Stegostoma tigrinum: one gene and its partner. The protein of the gene in region 2 purifies or fractionates together with the protein of the main gene of each other region. This does not show direct contact. Links are inferred from orthologs where the notes say so. Each region holds a gene or a part of one and is shown on either strand. Other genes may lie near its edges.

What was found. Proteins that work in one complex are often made in the same cells at the same time.
Region 1: the proteins of guanine nucleotide-binding protein subunit beta-5 (region 2) and guanine nucleotide-binding protein G(I)/G(S)/G(O) subunit gamma-2 purify together in Homo sapiens (affinity purification with western blotting; 4 studies listed by BioGRID and IntAct, with this or other methods). This does not show direct contact. The link is inferred for Stegostoma tigrinum from reciprocal best matches to the Homo sapiens genes GNB5 and GNG2.

Annotation. Positions count from the first base shown.
Region 1 is NC_081363.1:45,370,070-45,377,201, forward strand, and holds the start of guanine nucleotide-binding protein G(I)/G(S)/G(O) subunit gamma-2, read left to right. Parts: upstream 1-4,126; 5' UTR 4,127-4,766; intron 4,767-7,132. UniProt on the Homo sapiens protein: Guanine nucleotide-binding proteins (G proteins) are involved as a modulator or transducer in various transmembrane signaling systems.
Region 2 is NC_081386.1:20,114,266-20,122,160, forward strand, and holds the start of guanine nucleotide-binding protein subunit beta-5, read left to right. Parts: upstream 1-4,890; 5' UTR 4,891-4,991; intron 4,992-5,419; exon of another isoform or gene 5,420-5,437; intron 5,438-7,895. UniProt on the Homo sapiens protein: Enhances GTPase-activating protein (GAP) activity of regulator of G protein signaling (RGS) proteins, such as RGS7 and RGS9, hence involved in the termination of the signaling initiated by the G protein coupled receptors (GPCRs) by accelerating the GTP hydrolysis on the G-alpha subunits, thereby promoting their inactivation.

The sequences.
Region 1 (7,132 bases), on a different chromosome or scaffold from region 2:
TTAAATTAAAGCCCACCCAACCTTACCTTACTCCTTGGAAACTCAATTGAACTTGATCTTCCTTGGTTCCTTTTTGCAGTTATACTGTTTCACTATTGACTGAATGCACTGTGACCCCTGCCCCTGCTGAGCTGGCTTAAACTCTTCCCAACAGCATGAGCAAACCTTCCCACAAGAATTTTATTCCAATTCTGGTTCGGGTGTAGACTGTCTCAATAGCAGAGATTCTATTTTTCCCCCAAAACAGGTCCTGGTTGTTCAGTGATAATGGGAATTGCAGATGCTGGAGAATCCAAGATAATAAAATGTGAGGCTGGATGAACACAGCAGGCCAAGCAGCATCTCAGGAGCACAAAAGCTGACGTTTCGGGCCTAGACCCTTCATCAGAGAGGGGGATGGGGTGAGGGTTCTGGAATAAATAGGGAGAGATGGGAGGCGGACCGAAGATGGAGAGAAAAGAAGATAGGTGGAGAGGAGAGTATAGGTGGGGAGGTAGGGAGGGGATAGGTCAGTCCAGGGAAGACGGACAGGTCAAGGAGGTGGGATGAGGTTGGTAGGTAGGAGATGGAGGTGCGGCTTGGGGTGGGAGGAAGGGATGGGTGAGAGGAAGAACAGGTTAGGGACGCAGAGACAGGCTGGACTGGTTTGGGATGCAGTGGGTGGAGGGGAAGAGCTGGGCTGGTTGTGTGGCGCAGTGGGGGGAGGGGACGAACTGGGCTGGTCTTGGGATGCGGTGGGGGAAGGAGAGATTTTGAAGCTGGTGAAGTCCACATTGATACCATATGGCTGCAGGGTTCCCAAGCGGAATATGAGTTGCTGTTCCTGCAACCTTCGGGTGGCATCATTGTGGCAGTGCAGGAGGCCCATGATGGACATGTCATCTAAAGAATGGGAGGGGGAGTGGAAATGGTTTGCAACTGGGAGGTGCAGTTGTTTATTGCGAACCGAGCGGAGGTGTTCTGCAAAGCGGTCCCCAAGCCTCCACTTGGTTTCCCCAATGTAGAGGAAGCCACACTGGGTACAGTGGATGCAGTATACCACATTGGCAGATGTGCATGTGAACCTCTGCTTAATGTGGAATGTCATCTTGGGGCCTGGGATAGGGGTGAGGGAGGAGGTGTGGGGGCAAGTGTAGCATTTCCTGCGGTTGCAGGGGAAGGTGCCGGGTGTGGTGGGGTTGGAGGGCAGTGTGGAGCAGACAAGGGAGTCACGGAGAGAGTGGTCTCTCCGGAAAGCAGACAGGGGTGGGGATGGAAAAATGTCTTGGGTGGTGGGGTCGGATTGTAGATGGCGAAAGTGTCGGAGGATGATGCGTTGTATCCGGAGGTTGGTGGAGTGGTGTGTGAGAATGAGGGGGATCCTCTTTGGGCGGTTGTGGTGGGGGCGGGGTGTGAGGGATGTGTTGCGGGAAATGCGGGAGACGCGGTCAAGGGCGTTCTCGACCACTGTGGGGGGAAAGTTCCGGTCCTTGAAGAACTTGGACATCTGAGATGTGCGGGAGTGGAATGCCTCATCGTGGGAGCAGATGCGGCGGAGGCGGAGGAATTGGGAATTGGGGATGGAATTTTTGCAGGATGGTGTGTGGGAGGAGGTGTATTCTCGGTAGCTGTGGGAGGGATTGGTTGAACAATTTGCTACCACCTTCAGTAAGAAGTCCATTTTAATTTTGTGTTTAGCTCTTAATACTGTCTATGCAGAATGTCATTCCTAGTTCTACCTAGGTAGTTGGTACCAACATAGACCATGAAAACTGAATCTTCCCCTTCCAGGTACAAATGCCTTGCCAGCCTCAGCAAGTGTCTCAAACACTGACACTTCTGGCAGGCATTATAGCTGTCTGGTGCCTCGCCCTTTGTTGGATAAAATGGTGGTAATCCCCTGATTGCCACCACTTTCTTGTTGTTTCTATCACTTAAATGCCACCCCCTCCATACCTCGGCACTATAGTTAGTTTGCTCATTCAGCTTTTAGCCTCATTTTCAGCCAATCAAGCTGAGAGATCTTCAATCCTATTGGACACTGATACTCCTGCATTTCCACCCTCTGGATCAACTTGTCTGCCTCACGTACAGTCACGCCCTCCTGTCTTTGACCACTTACTAAATCAGCAGGCCCTATCCTAAATGGTGTGACAGATTCCCAGCACAAATAATCCATGTAATTTAGCCCCTCCCTGCACAGCAGTGTCTGCAGTTGAACCTCCAACTCATTAACTCTGAGCAAAAGCTACTTGAAAGTGAAACATTTTATACAGACATTTGCCCTAGATCACAATAGAATCAAGCAGCTCCCACATGATGCAGCCTTTACCGATCATAAATCCTGCATCCTTAAAGATCTTAGTTAATTACCGCCAACTTGCACACTGTTTTAAAACAGAACACATACCAGATATGCACCAAACTGGCTGCTTTCTTTGTCGTGCAGCAAAATCAATTCCTAAATGGCAGAAGTATTAAAAAGCTAAAGCAAAAGAACACAAACACTTGCTTCTCCTCTCCATCTTCATCAAACTCCCCACTTTAGATAAAAACTTTCAACATTGCAAACAATTTCCTTGATGGATTTGTTTTCCTCTGGCTGCACTAAACGACATAATTTTTAGGAACTGTACGGGGATTAGAGACACCAGATTTAACCATTTAGCTAAAATTTTAAGCTTATTTGCATAGTACTTCCCATTTATTGCTAATTACTGACTAGATTTGATTTTAAGAACCGAGTTTAAAAACAAAAATTTACACAAACTCTTCGCTCACCAAACTCAATTGTTCAATTTCCTCAGCTACAAAATATCACCTGCCCTTCCAACTTGATGGAGTCATAATTTGTTAAATAATTTATTAATTAATTAAATTTAACTAATGCCTTCAGTTCTGTCTGTGCTTTTTTATTTTCCTTATTTTGTTTAATATTCTACTTACACTTATTGAAATTCCTTAGTTTTCCTGATTACTATTAAACAGGAAATATCCAGTCGCCTACCTGTTTCCAGACATTAGTTTCTCTTTCTGTAATCTGATTCAGAATTGACAGTAGACGCTCCTGTATATCACAGTCCTGTATATCCTTCTCCATGATCTTATTCAATGAAGGAGCAGGCTCGAAGGAGTGAGTGGCCTACTCTTTTTTTCCTTGTTTGTATGTTCATGTGTACTCCCGTTCATATATTCCACTTTCCTGTATATTGGCCTCTCTTCTTGTATATTCCAGTCTTATATAGCTTACTTCTACGTATCCCACTTATGTATACCTAATTTCTGTATACCTAACTCCCACAGACCTCAAGACAACAAAGTGTGAAGCTGGATGAACACAGCATCTGCAGTTCCCATTATTTCTTTCCCACAGACCTCAGTTCAGTCTTCTGTGCTCTCTTCCTATACATCTTAGTATTCTCTGTAATCTGCTCACCTCCTATATACCCAATTCCTTTATATGTTCTCCTCATTACTTATGCTCCACTCTCACTGAAATCTCTCTCTTTATACTCCCACTAACGCGTCCTTCTTTACAGCTCCACACTCACCTTGCTTTTTACATGCCTCTATCCTCTTTGATAGCTTGCTGAGTCCCAGCAAAATTGAGGCCAGTGGGACTGAGAATGAAATCTCTGTACAGGTTGGGGTCATCTCTAACTCAAAGGAAGGTTGTCGTGCGCAGGCAGGTCTGACCAAATGTGTCTTGTTCATATCCGGGTTGAATTACTGCTGTATGTAGTACACAATGTTTAGAGATCACTGGTTCACAGAGATCAATAGTAAATCCTCAGCTGTCACCCTTCAGGGTTTAGGCTATGTAACAAGTGAATGGGGCGCTCAAAGGAAACATTACATGTACAGCCTATTATCTGTGACATGTCAATAACTTGTCATGGCTGAAACTTTACTTTTGAACAAATCACATCCTTTTTTCATGAAAAAAAGACGTACACTCGAAGTGTCTAAAGAAACGATAATATTCTGGTTTTAAACCTCTGAGGATTAGATTCTGATTACTGTTCTGTGTCTGCTGTGCAAAGAAAGAGGCATTGCCACATTTACATAAACAACACAGGAAATCAGTCATTCACCGTTGCCATGGTAGCACTGGGGAAATCCATTTTATTAAAGTTCACTGTGTCCCTCTTAGGAACATTGCAAACAAAGAGCTGGAATAATAGAAGTAGACTGGGTGCAGATATAATAGCATAACTCTGGGTTTTAGTATGGGCAGTCTTTGCTGCTGATGTTGGTCTATCTGGTAGTCTTGTTCAGGAAGCGCCCCTTCATGCCAGCAGCTGGGAAGAATATCAAAGTCACACTGAGGTTTCTGTTAGTGAGGGTGGAGGGAAGCAAGCCCTTAGAATGATTTTATCATTTATTTAATATTTCAGACGCCAAGATGAATTCCTTTGATTACTTCACCTAATGCTTCAAATGAAGCTCAGAGAGCAGAGCATTGGTTGTAAAGTGCGGTGGAATTGCTGCAGAAATAAGCTGGTGAAAGGAACAGTTGCAAGGAGGGAAGCACAAGGCATACAGGAGAGAAGGGCTAAATGAGAGAGAAAGAGAGGCAGAGAAGGGGAAGTTACAGCAGCTAGAAAGGGGAGGAAGTGGGAGACCTGCTGCTTCCTGTAGACAGAATGATGATTGAAGACAAAGCTGGGTGTGGACTCGTCTCTCAGGGCTGCTGCCTACACAGCTGGTAAGCTTGGATTCTCCTGAATATTTAACCAATTTTAAGAAGAGAAGAGTGAATATCTGCTCACAGTTTAATGAACAAGGTAAATTAGCCTTTTTTCTTTCCTGGTTTTAATTCTACACTGAGGAATTTTGTTGATTACTGTATTTTTTTGCCAAAATAGACTTGATTGTATTTGGGACTACAGATATTAAAGCCCTATGTGTATTCCACAAACCGATATGATCAACAACTGTGCAATAACCATTATTGATTATTTTATAGTGTTGATGCTAAGAAAATGTAATGCTTTAATCTGAAAGCTTGCAGAAACCAAGTATGTAGCTGTTAGCAAGGAGAAGAAGAGCTGTCTGCTGTGAAGGAAGGTAGAATGATTTAATTGTAATTCATTCAGTGTGATTGGGAATTTGTGCTACAATCATTTAATGCCGATTGTAAAATTTTATACAAAACAACACACAACAACAATCAGCAGCTCAGTTCTTCTGATAACACAGTATGCCACAAAGGACTCAGTATGGATTTTGCTGTATGATTTTTTTCGTGTTCATATTCTCATTGCAGCTAAATGTCTGTATTTGTAAAATAATTCTTCAAACCAAAATGCATAAAATAACTGAACAGTAGAGTAATAATACTCATAATAAAGAAATTTTTTAATATCAAAATTACTGTAATTCTGAGAGCTGTAGGGATGACTACACGGGTCAATGCAAAATCAACCAGTTTTTTTTCCATAATATCACAGCATCTGCATTGAAAAGTCCATCATATAGAAAAAAGGTGTTGATTTGGTTGCCAGTAATAGCATTTAATTAGTAACTATGAATGCTATTTTTATATGCTGTGAAATCACATGACTTATTTAGACTGCACCGCCTCCATTTTATTGAAGAAAATGTAGATACCTTAAAATTAATTCAGTGATTCATAGCTGCTTACTAAATTAATGCCTTTTGAATTCTATCGGACAGTGTCATGAAAGATGATAACTAGGCAATGAAGAAACGATAGTTTCTGATGTGAAATACCAGTCAAATAATTTGAAGTAAAGGCAGAACATGCTAGAAATATTCAGCAGGTCAGGGAGTGTCCATGGAATCACTAATCCGAAACTCTCCATAGCTTCTCTCCACAGTTTTTGCTTCACAGCTGCTGCCTGACAAGCTGAACATTTCCAGTTTTCTTTTAAATATTTTATCTCAGGTTTCCAGCATCTGCAGTATTTTGCATTAGAGATAAATAAGGTATTTTCGTTACTTTATGGAAATCCACAACCATCGAGAGGTTTACATTTTTACTAGTGAGCTGTATCGTGTGTTATAGGTCTTACAATTCCCAAATATATGAAAAAACAAATATTAAATATTGCAGACAAACTTGTATCATAATAGCCTAAGTTTTATATCATCACTAATTAGCTTTTATTGTTGTGTAATTTGAGACTTGTTTAATCAATTGGTTCCATGTTCAGACTTAATGTGCTCAGGGGAATGCAACTGTTACACAAAAGTGAACCAGTTGGGAAATTATACAAACAGCAGTCTCTGAAAGTTTACAGCCCAATGGGATTTCCATTGCCCCTCCTAATCAAGGAAAGAGATTTTCTGTTGCCTGTTATAATGATAGACACTTCAGAGTCAAATTTCTGTTTTTGACAGTACATTCCCTACGATCAGTCTGTTAAATGGAAATATTAGTGAAATTCAATAAGCATTTGATCTTAACATTTAAATCAGCTGCCAGATTTAGCCTGCTGTCAATATTTTCTTTTCTAATGTTTAGACATGTTAATGGGACTAGATTATTGACCAACACTACTTATTAAATTATTCCTTCATGTTACATTGTTAACTGAATTATGAATCCAATAATTAAACTGTAGCACTTATTTGAGTGTCACAAGGAGGTGCAATCTGATACAGATACCAATACAAGGAGTTTACAATTACGGCCTACAATTGTCCATCTATTGTTCATTCTGTATTGATGAATAAATCACCACCAGGTGTCTGAATTAAATTAGATATGATCACAATGGTTCATTTATAGAAGTACAGATGTTGCCTTTGGCACAATACCACCCTATTTGTTTGTAACTGGTACCAGTATCACTCATTACTTTAGCACCATTTTCAACAACAATAGTAATAGTTCATAGTCAGAGTTATTTACATTCAAGAATAAATTGAATGTTGGAAAATGATACCATATTATAATAGTTTTGTGCGTACAATGATCAGTGTATTTTTTTAATTGTAAAACAGATAAGTTTAAAACAAAGAAGAGCCACACCCTAAGAAGTGCTTTTAATCTAAATGTAGAAATTGTTGTGGAAGAAATAGACATTTTTAATGGTCATAAGATACATCACACTACGTGGATTTATATAGTAATATGAAGAACATAGGACTAAGAAACAGCCATTTGGCCCAACCAACCCTACCC
Region 2 (7,895 bases):
AAGGTTTTTTTGTCAAATTTCTACTTCTTTAATTGGAAGGAAGCAAGCTTTTTGAAGCTGTGATTTTAAACTGCTCACTTGTTTTCTTTCAACATTTTTCTTCCCATTTCCATCTGTTCCCTGAATGTTATTCAAAATCTTCTCCATTTCTGAAACGTTTCTGCAATTTATCAGCTATTGTCTGACTTTACAGATTACACTATCTGCACCTGGGCTTTTTCAATGGCAGGCGACAATGTGTGTACTATGAAAGCATGACATGACACTGTGTCAAATTTGCCTGCATTTTTCAATAGCTTCAGCAGGATTGGATCCAATGGTGAGAAATACTTAAGAAAAAGATTGCAGAGGTGAAACAGTGCAGAAAGAGTTAATGGTCGTATAAGTGTCACAGCTTATCAAATATTTATTAGTTGTGTACACTATTTGTATGGATCCTTACTGGCAAAAGAGACAAATTAGCTCTCAATGACTGTCAGGACACTAACGTGATATTATAGACTTCAGAATTTTAATAACAGCTCATTGACTGAATGAACCAACAAAAGATAAGCTGTTTCACACACACACTAATAAAGACAAGGACTGACTTATACAGGAATTGCAAGTATTTGGCACGTCTGGGAGTGGGGGCTACATAGAGAAAACTGCTTTGATACCTGCTTGACTGGATGCTTTATGCAACACGGGTAACTAACTGATTGCCCTGTAGAAGAATTTAAGGAGGTAATCATAGGAAAGCCGTGTCTTGCCAAATGTAACAAGGAACAAAGAAATTACTTTTGTTAAGGAATCCAGCTGCAGTCTTGCAGTAATTTGGTGAAAGGACATTTTAAGCAATATCAATCAATATATCACCTCAGAGACTGAAGGATGAATATCTGCATAAGAATCAAAGACCAGAACAACTCAACAGCAGAACTTAACAGAACAACATTACAGAAGGACTGAATCCTGGAGACTTCCAGAGACAGACCATTTTTTGGTTGAAGTCCTGGCCAGATTTCATCATTAATTCAGGTAATCACTAAGTTGGATCGCAGGCTTATACTTGCTTACTTAAGGGGTCTTGTGTTTAGTTGCAACGTGCAATAAAGTTTGAATTATTGTTTCAGTACTTGATTTTATATGAGATTTCTTTAATAAGTAGCTGAAATGTGGTGACTTACCCACAGCACCAAGAAGCTGAGAGTGATCTTGGGTTGTGTGTTCAAACATTCTTGAAATTGGGTGTAGAGGTTAATAGGGTGGTTTAGAAGACACATCCTGGTCTTTATCAGTTGAGGTGTAGATTATATGAGCAGGGATGTTATATTGAACCTGTACAGAACTTTTCGTTAGACCACAAATAGAGTACCATGTGCAGTTCTAGTTGCCTCACTATGGGAAGGATGCAATTGCATTGAAGAAGGTGTGGCGGAGATGCACCAGAGTTTTGCCTGGGCTGGAGCATTTCAAAGAATCCCTGTAGCGTGGAAGCAGGCCATTCACCTCATCAAGTCACAGCAACCCAACATTCCACCCAGGCCCACCCCTCTTACACTACCCTATAACCCTGCACTTCCTACGGCTAACTCACCCAGCCTGCACATCTTTGGACTGTGGGAGGAAACTGGAGCACCCAGTGCAAACCTGTGTAGACATGGGAAGAATGTGCAAATTCCACTTGGACAGTCGCCCGAGGGTGGAATCAAACCCATGTCCACTGCTGTCTTAACTACAGAGCCAGAGTACTGCTCCAATTTCAGCTACAGAGAGAGGCTGGATAAGCTCGGGGGTTCTTATTCTGGAGTAGAGGATGTTGACAGGGGCCTGGTTTGAGGTTTACAGGATTATAAGGGGCATGGGCAGGGTAGGTAGAAAGCTGCTGTTCCCCTTCGGTGAATGGTCAAGAACAAGGGGGTACACTTTTTATGTTAAAAGGAAGTATTTAGAGAAAATGTTTCTTTCACCAGAGGTTGGGGTGGGGTCTGAAATGGGTTGCCTGTGAGGTCATCTCACAACCTTTTTTAAAAGTACATGGATGAACTATTGAAATGCCAAAACATTCAAGAATATGGACCTAGTATGCTAAAGTCATCTTAGTGGAGGTAGTGGTGTAGTTTTTGGTGATGTACTCAATGGGCCAAAGGGCCTCTTCTGTACAAAGATCCTATTATTCGATAAGCTTGAAACAATCCAAACGTACTCCATGATTCAACTGGAAAATACACCAGTGTCACTGCCTTCATCAGTGGATCTCGAATTGGAATCACTACAGCAAAAGAGGGAAAATAGGCTAACTCATATTCTATACTATATAGAACGGACATTAACAGAAACAAATGCCTAGTGCTTTCTGACAATGACAAACCACAAGGGAACGATCCACACAAACTGCAAAGACATCCCCTTTTGCAAGATGGTATACCAACAACCTATTTTCCCCACAAGGGCAACCTCACAATGGAACAAGCTGCCAAAAGAAGTAATCACAGCCCTTAGTGCTTGAATCTCGAAGACCTACGTTTAGATTAATAATTTCATTTTTATTACCAGGGTTACCATCTCAGCAATTGAGGCCTTGATTAGCCAGAGCTACCCATTTAAACATTGGTACAATTAGTCCATGATGATAACACTAGTAAAGCAGGAACAGTGGACCTAAGATTAGTCCCTTAGTGATTGACCCCGTTGTGAAGAAAGGATGACATTACCAAACACTAATAAAGTGAAACATTGCTTTGGGATTAAAAATAGGGTTTTTTTTTTTACTGGAGAGCAGTTTGATATTATCTAGTTTCAAATTCCGCTGACCTGGTCCCACTTCTCTCCTGCCCTCCTACATGGACTGGCACTATCATTTTATTTAGGCCATTAAATAATTAGACTGGTAAGTTGTACTGGCTTACTTTAAATGGAACAGTGACCAGATGAGTTAATTCTCCTCTCAATTGATATTTACAATTTTAATTTCATAAACTGTTGTTGGCTTGGGCAATAAATATGATTTGGCTTTCCTAAAGTCAGTAATTATTGCTCAGGATGACCACTTCAAATTCAAAGAGAACTTACCCTATTAGTAGGGATGTTACTACGATATGACATTTTGACTAATTTATTCAGGAATCAGCAGTCATGGACTGTAATACTCCCTGAAAACATTGGGTCACTAAAATTTACTGGGATTGGAGGCAGTGCAGAGAAGGCTCACTAAGCTGATATCGGGTATGGAGGGACTTTCACATGCAGAGAGGTTAAGTAGACCTGGGCACTACATCTTAAAAAGGATATATTGACCTTTGGAGAACTGTTGGCTTACAATGTAGGTTTACAAGAATGCTACTCGGACTTCAGGGATTGTGAGGGGAGGTTAGACGAATTAGGCTTGTTTTCTCTAGAATGTAGAAGTCTAAAGGGTGATCTTATCAATGTCTTCGAGACATTAACCGGAAAAGACAAGGTAGACAAAGATAAACCATTTCCACTTATCAGGGTTTCTAGAACTAGGGAACACAGACTGAGAATTAGGGTTACACTGTTCAGGAGTGATATTAGGAAGCTCTTCTACAAACAAAGTGTGGTAGATATTTTGAACTCTCTTCAAAAGGGCAGTGGATACAGAATCAGTCAGTCGAGATAAAAAGAAATTAATAAAACTGACCAGATTACTTAAAAGTTGCACATTATTTCACAGGCAAAGATGTGGATTCACCAGTTGCTTTTCTGGAAATGTTGATCAGGGTCACCTGTTTAGTTCACTCAGGTGCAGGTAGTAATACTTCTAACTCAACTTTCTACTCTCTGGGCTTTCAAAAACCTGATCTGGAAAATCAGGCAGGGCGCTTTCAAATTTTCATGCGGTGCTATCAGTAGTAAAACTCTTCTCCCAGAACAAAATTTTCAAAAACTTTGGATCCACCTTCATAGGCAGATTGTCTTTTCACTCCACCCTCTCGTTTATACTAAGGGATTCCCGATGCAAACAGGAACCCATTTCCAATCTCTTCAGATGCCAACAACTTCCTATTTGCATCACTTGTTTTAATCAGAATTTCAGGATTTGTAATATTTTCCTCTTGTGCTGTAATTTTAAAATATTTGGTAGTCTGATAAAACTTTAATTAGCATAATTTCTACACAATCACCTATTATCAGGGGAGACAGTGGCATTGTGTGATGTCACTGGTCTGATAATCCAGAAGAGCTGATTAATGTTCCTGGGGCTTGGGTTCCAATGCCCACCATGATAAATCATGAAATTAATATCTGGAATTAACAGCAAGCCTAATGGTAACATGTAACCACCAACAATTGTTGTGAAAACCCATCCAATTCACCTTTTATTGAAGGAAATCTACTATCTTTGCCTGGTCTGGCTTACATGTGACTAATGTGGTTGACTTTTAAATGTCTTCTGGGCAATTAGGGATGGGCAATAAATGCTAGTTGAGTCAGAGATGACCACATCCCATGAATTATATTTTTAAAAATGTAAATACTCCACCCAATGTCTAAGTCAACAAAGTTGTTCAGACCATCCCTGGTCACTGATATATTCAAACTTGTACATTCAATTAAAATATACACCTTTTTTAAAATTTATTTTGTGGATTTGAAATTGTAAAGGAATTTTAAGGACGATTGACAGTTTTCAGATGCTGTGTTGCGTATTTGGAAAACTAAACCATGTGATCAACTGGCTGATCTATTTAAGACGTCAACTGAGTCATGAATCTCTTGAACAGCTAATCATTCCAAACATTCCTGAGACACACAAAATATCCAATGTATTTAGTTGTTAGATTCCTTACGTTTCTTGTAATAAAGTGCAAAGTTACAGTGACTATAAAAAGGCTCTGTCGAAAGGTGTCAGTAAAAATATTCAAAATGACCTGTAACCCTTTAAATAGATTATCACTTAGCCACTGAAGCTGGATTAGTTTCTCAAATCCTCAGTCTCTCAGAGCCTGACTTCAGCCTCCCATCTGCATTCTTCCTGGAGCATTCAGGTATGTCTGAATTTAAACTCAATGTTCAAATGTTGGCATTTTACATGCAGATAAATGTTTCAGATGTTCCCATTCCAGCATATGTTTGGAATTAATTGATTTTCAGAATTAAAAGGCTAAATAACAACCTGTAATGAGGAATTCGTGATGTCATCTGTGTGACAGTTCAAATTGTTAAACTTTGCAAATATTATACATCTTCTTTTATCTGAGTAAATCGAGTATGGATTTTGGTGCTGAACAAAACAGAAAGTGCTTAAAATAGTCAATAATCTGGATTTATTTGGAGAGAGACAAACAGTTAGCATTTTGCTTTGAATACAAGTCTTCTTTCAGATTATATTCAGTTTAAAATATTGACTCTGTTTGCATTTCACAGATGCTGTCGCACCTGCAGAATATTTCCATCACTTTTTCTGCTTGTATTTTGGATTTCCAGTATCTAGGTTATTTTTCTTTTATTTCAGATTTTAGTAGTTCTTTGCATATGATGAAATTGTGTTTATAAACTATCAGGAATTACTGAAAATTCTCAGAAGTTGGACATCTGTAGAGAGAGAAATTAATAGAAAGGTTCTGATGAGAGGTCATTGACCTGAAACATAGGGTGGAATCTTGTTGACGCAGTGAATCGCTTGTCAGCTGAATAGAGGGCCAGTAAGAGACCCTTGCTGTTCCTTCCTCTTTTAAGTGACGTGTTTTTAACAGATGCCAACAGGAGTTCCCAGAAGAACTGGTCATATGACCAGTTGGTGCACTAAATACAAGGGTATTTCTGCAAACACTCCCCTTTTGGTTAAAAAAAAGAAACATGAACACTATCATTTGCAGTTATAAGTTATCCAAGTTATCCGGTATATATGTTTAACAATGAACGTTATCATTCACGAAGGGACCAGGATGCGTTAACTCTAGTCAGTTCAACTGCCATTAGTTTCTACATATATAAGTAATCGGTACATTGAGTAGATCCCTGCTTCCCTAACCTGTTCTTCCTCTCACCTATCCCCTCCTCCTACCTCAAGCCGCACCTCCATTTCCCACCTACTAACCTCATCCCGCCCCCTTGACCTGTCCGTACTCCCCGGACTGACCTATCCCCTCCCTACCTCCCCACCTATACTGTCCTCTCCACCTATCTTCTCTTCTATCCATCTTTTGGTCTGCCTCCCCCTCTCTCCCTATTTATTTCAGATCTCATAATTGTTTGTTTGGGCATTGCCGATGGCTGTTCTTTTGCCTGCTCATTCTTAAGGTGATGTTCCTTCACCAGTGAGTGTTGATCCCATATGGTAGTGTGTGGTAACTGTTGTTACTAATCCATTTCTATTGCTGGGGAACAATGAAACTCCAGGGCTGAACGTTGTCCTGTACTCTGTGGAGGTGATGAGATCACTTCTTCCTGGTTTGCTGCCTGTAGTAAAGGTGTTTGGTCTCCAGTTGTATGCATGTATCTGCGGCTATTTTGACAAATCTCGTTGTTGATATTCATTGTGTGTGATCAAGTTAAATGTAGCTGTCCACAAGTCCCAATTGGCTATATGAACTAACCATTGTTGAGAATGTTGAATGTTTGGACTCTGACTGGCTCTCCAATGCTCAGTTCTGGCAACTACTTGGCAGTTTTATTAAAATGAATTTTTGCTTCCTGTCATTTCATGTTTATATTATACATATTACTGCTTCCGGCATTGATAGTTTTATTTCCACTATTGGAAGGATAATTTGTGTGTGTTGTGACATTAGCCTTTAGACTCTGCTCAAGGATTGCCTTGTACAAGACTGCGCCAGATTTACTTGATTTCTTTCTGATCCCTTTGTCTCGGCCTTTCTATTTGACTGCGGATAGTGTACAGCCAATGTATGATGGTGAATTTCACAATCCTGTAGGAAGCGAATGAATGTTTCAAGCATGAAATGAGGGCCGTCATCACTCATCACAATGTCTGGAATGCCATAACAATTGAATTGTATTTGACAATCTCACTGTTTGCTGTTGACTTGGTTAGTCTTTTTTCCAATAATCAGAATAATAGTCAACAGTGACAACATAAGTAATTCAGCCAGCTTCATCCCTGGTCTGTCTGGGATGTCGCACATCATAAGGATCGCTTGTGTATCACTGGCTGACATCTGTATAAGCTTGCTTTGCTTTTTTTCTAGCTCAACACTTGTGTGAAAAGTGATTCCAGTTTCTTGCAGTTAGGGTACTAATTCCCCCACATTGAACATTCCTCCCTATCTTTTGTGTGAGTAATATAAAATCATAGAATCCCTACAGTGTGCAAGTAGGCCATTCAGCTCATTGAATCCACACTGTCCCTCTAAAGAGCGTCCCACCCGCCTACCCTTTCCGCAACTCTGCATTTCCCATGGCTAACCCACCCAGCCTGCACATCCCTGGACACGATGGGTAATTTAGCACAGCCAATCCATCTAACCTGCATGTCTTTGGACTGTGGGAGGAAGCAGGAGCATGAGGAGAATGTGCAAACTCCACGCAGGTGGTTACCTGAGGGTGGAATTGAACCAGGTCCCCGGCGCTGTGAGGCACCAGTGCTAACCACTGCGCCACCGTGCTGCCCATGTATGCACGTTCTGACATCTGTCTGTTACTTTTCCACTGGCTTTTCTGCAACTATTTATCCTTTATTCCCGAAATACTTTTCTCGTTTGGCCTTGGACGTCAATCAGCTTAATTCAACCCATCATCTGTTCTCCCATTTATACGCTGTAGCTAATGGTTCACAATCTCAAAACTGCTGCCATGCCGATCACTTTTTTGTGAGATGTTTCCCCTCTCTCAGGACATGTGCTTTCACTGCAGGATCTTTAATGCCTGGCTAGTCCTATCTGTGATAAGATTAACTTTTAGTTGTCCAATCTCAATGGATCCAGCTATGT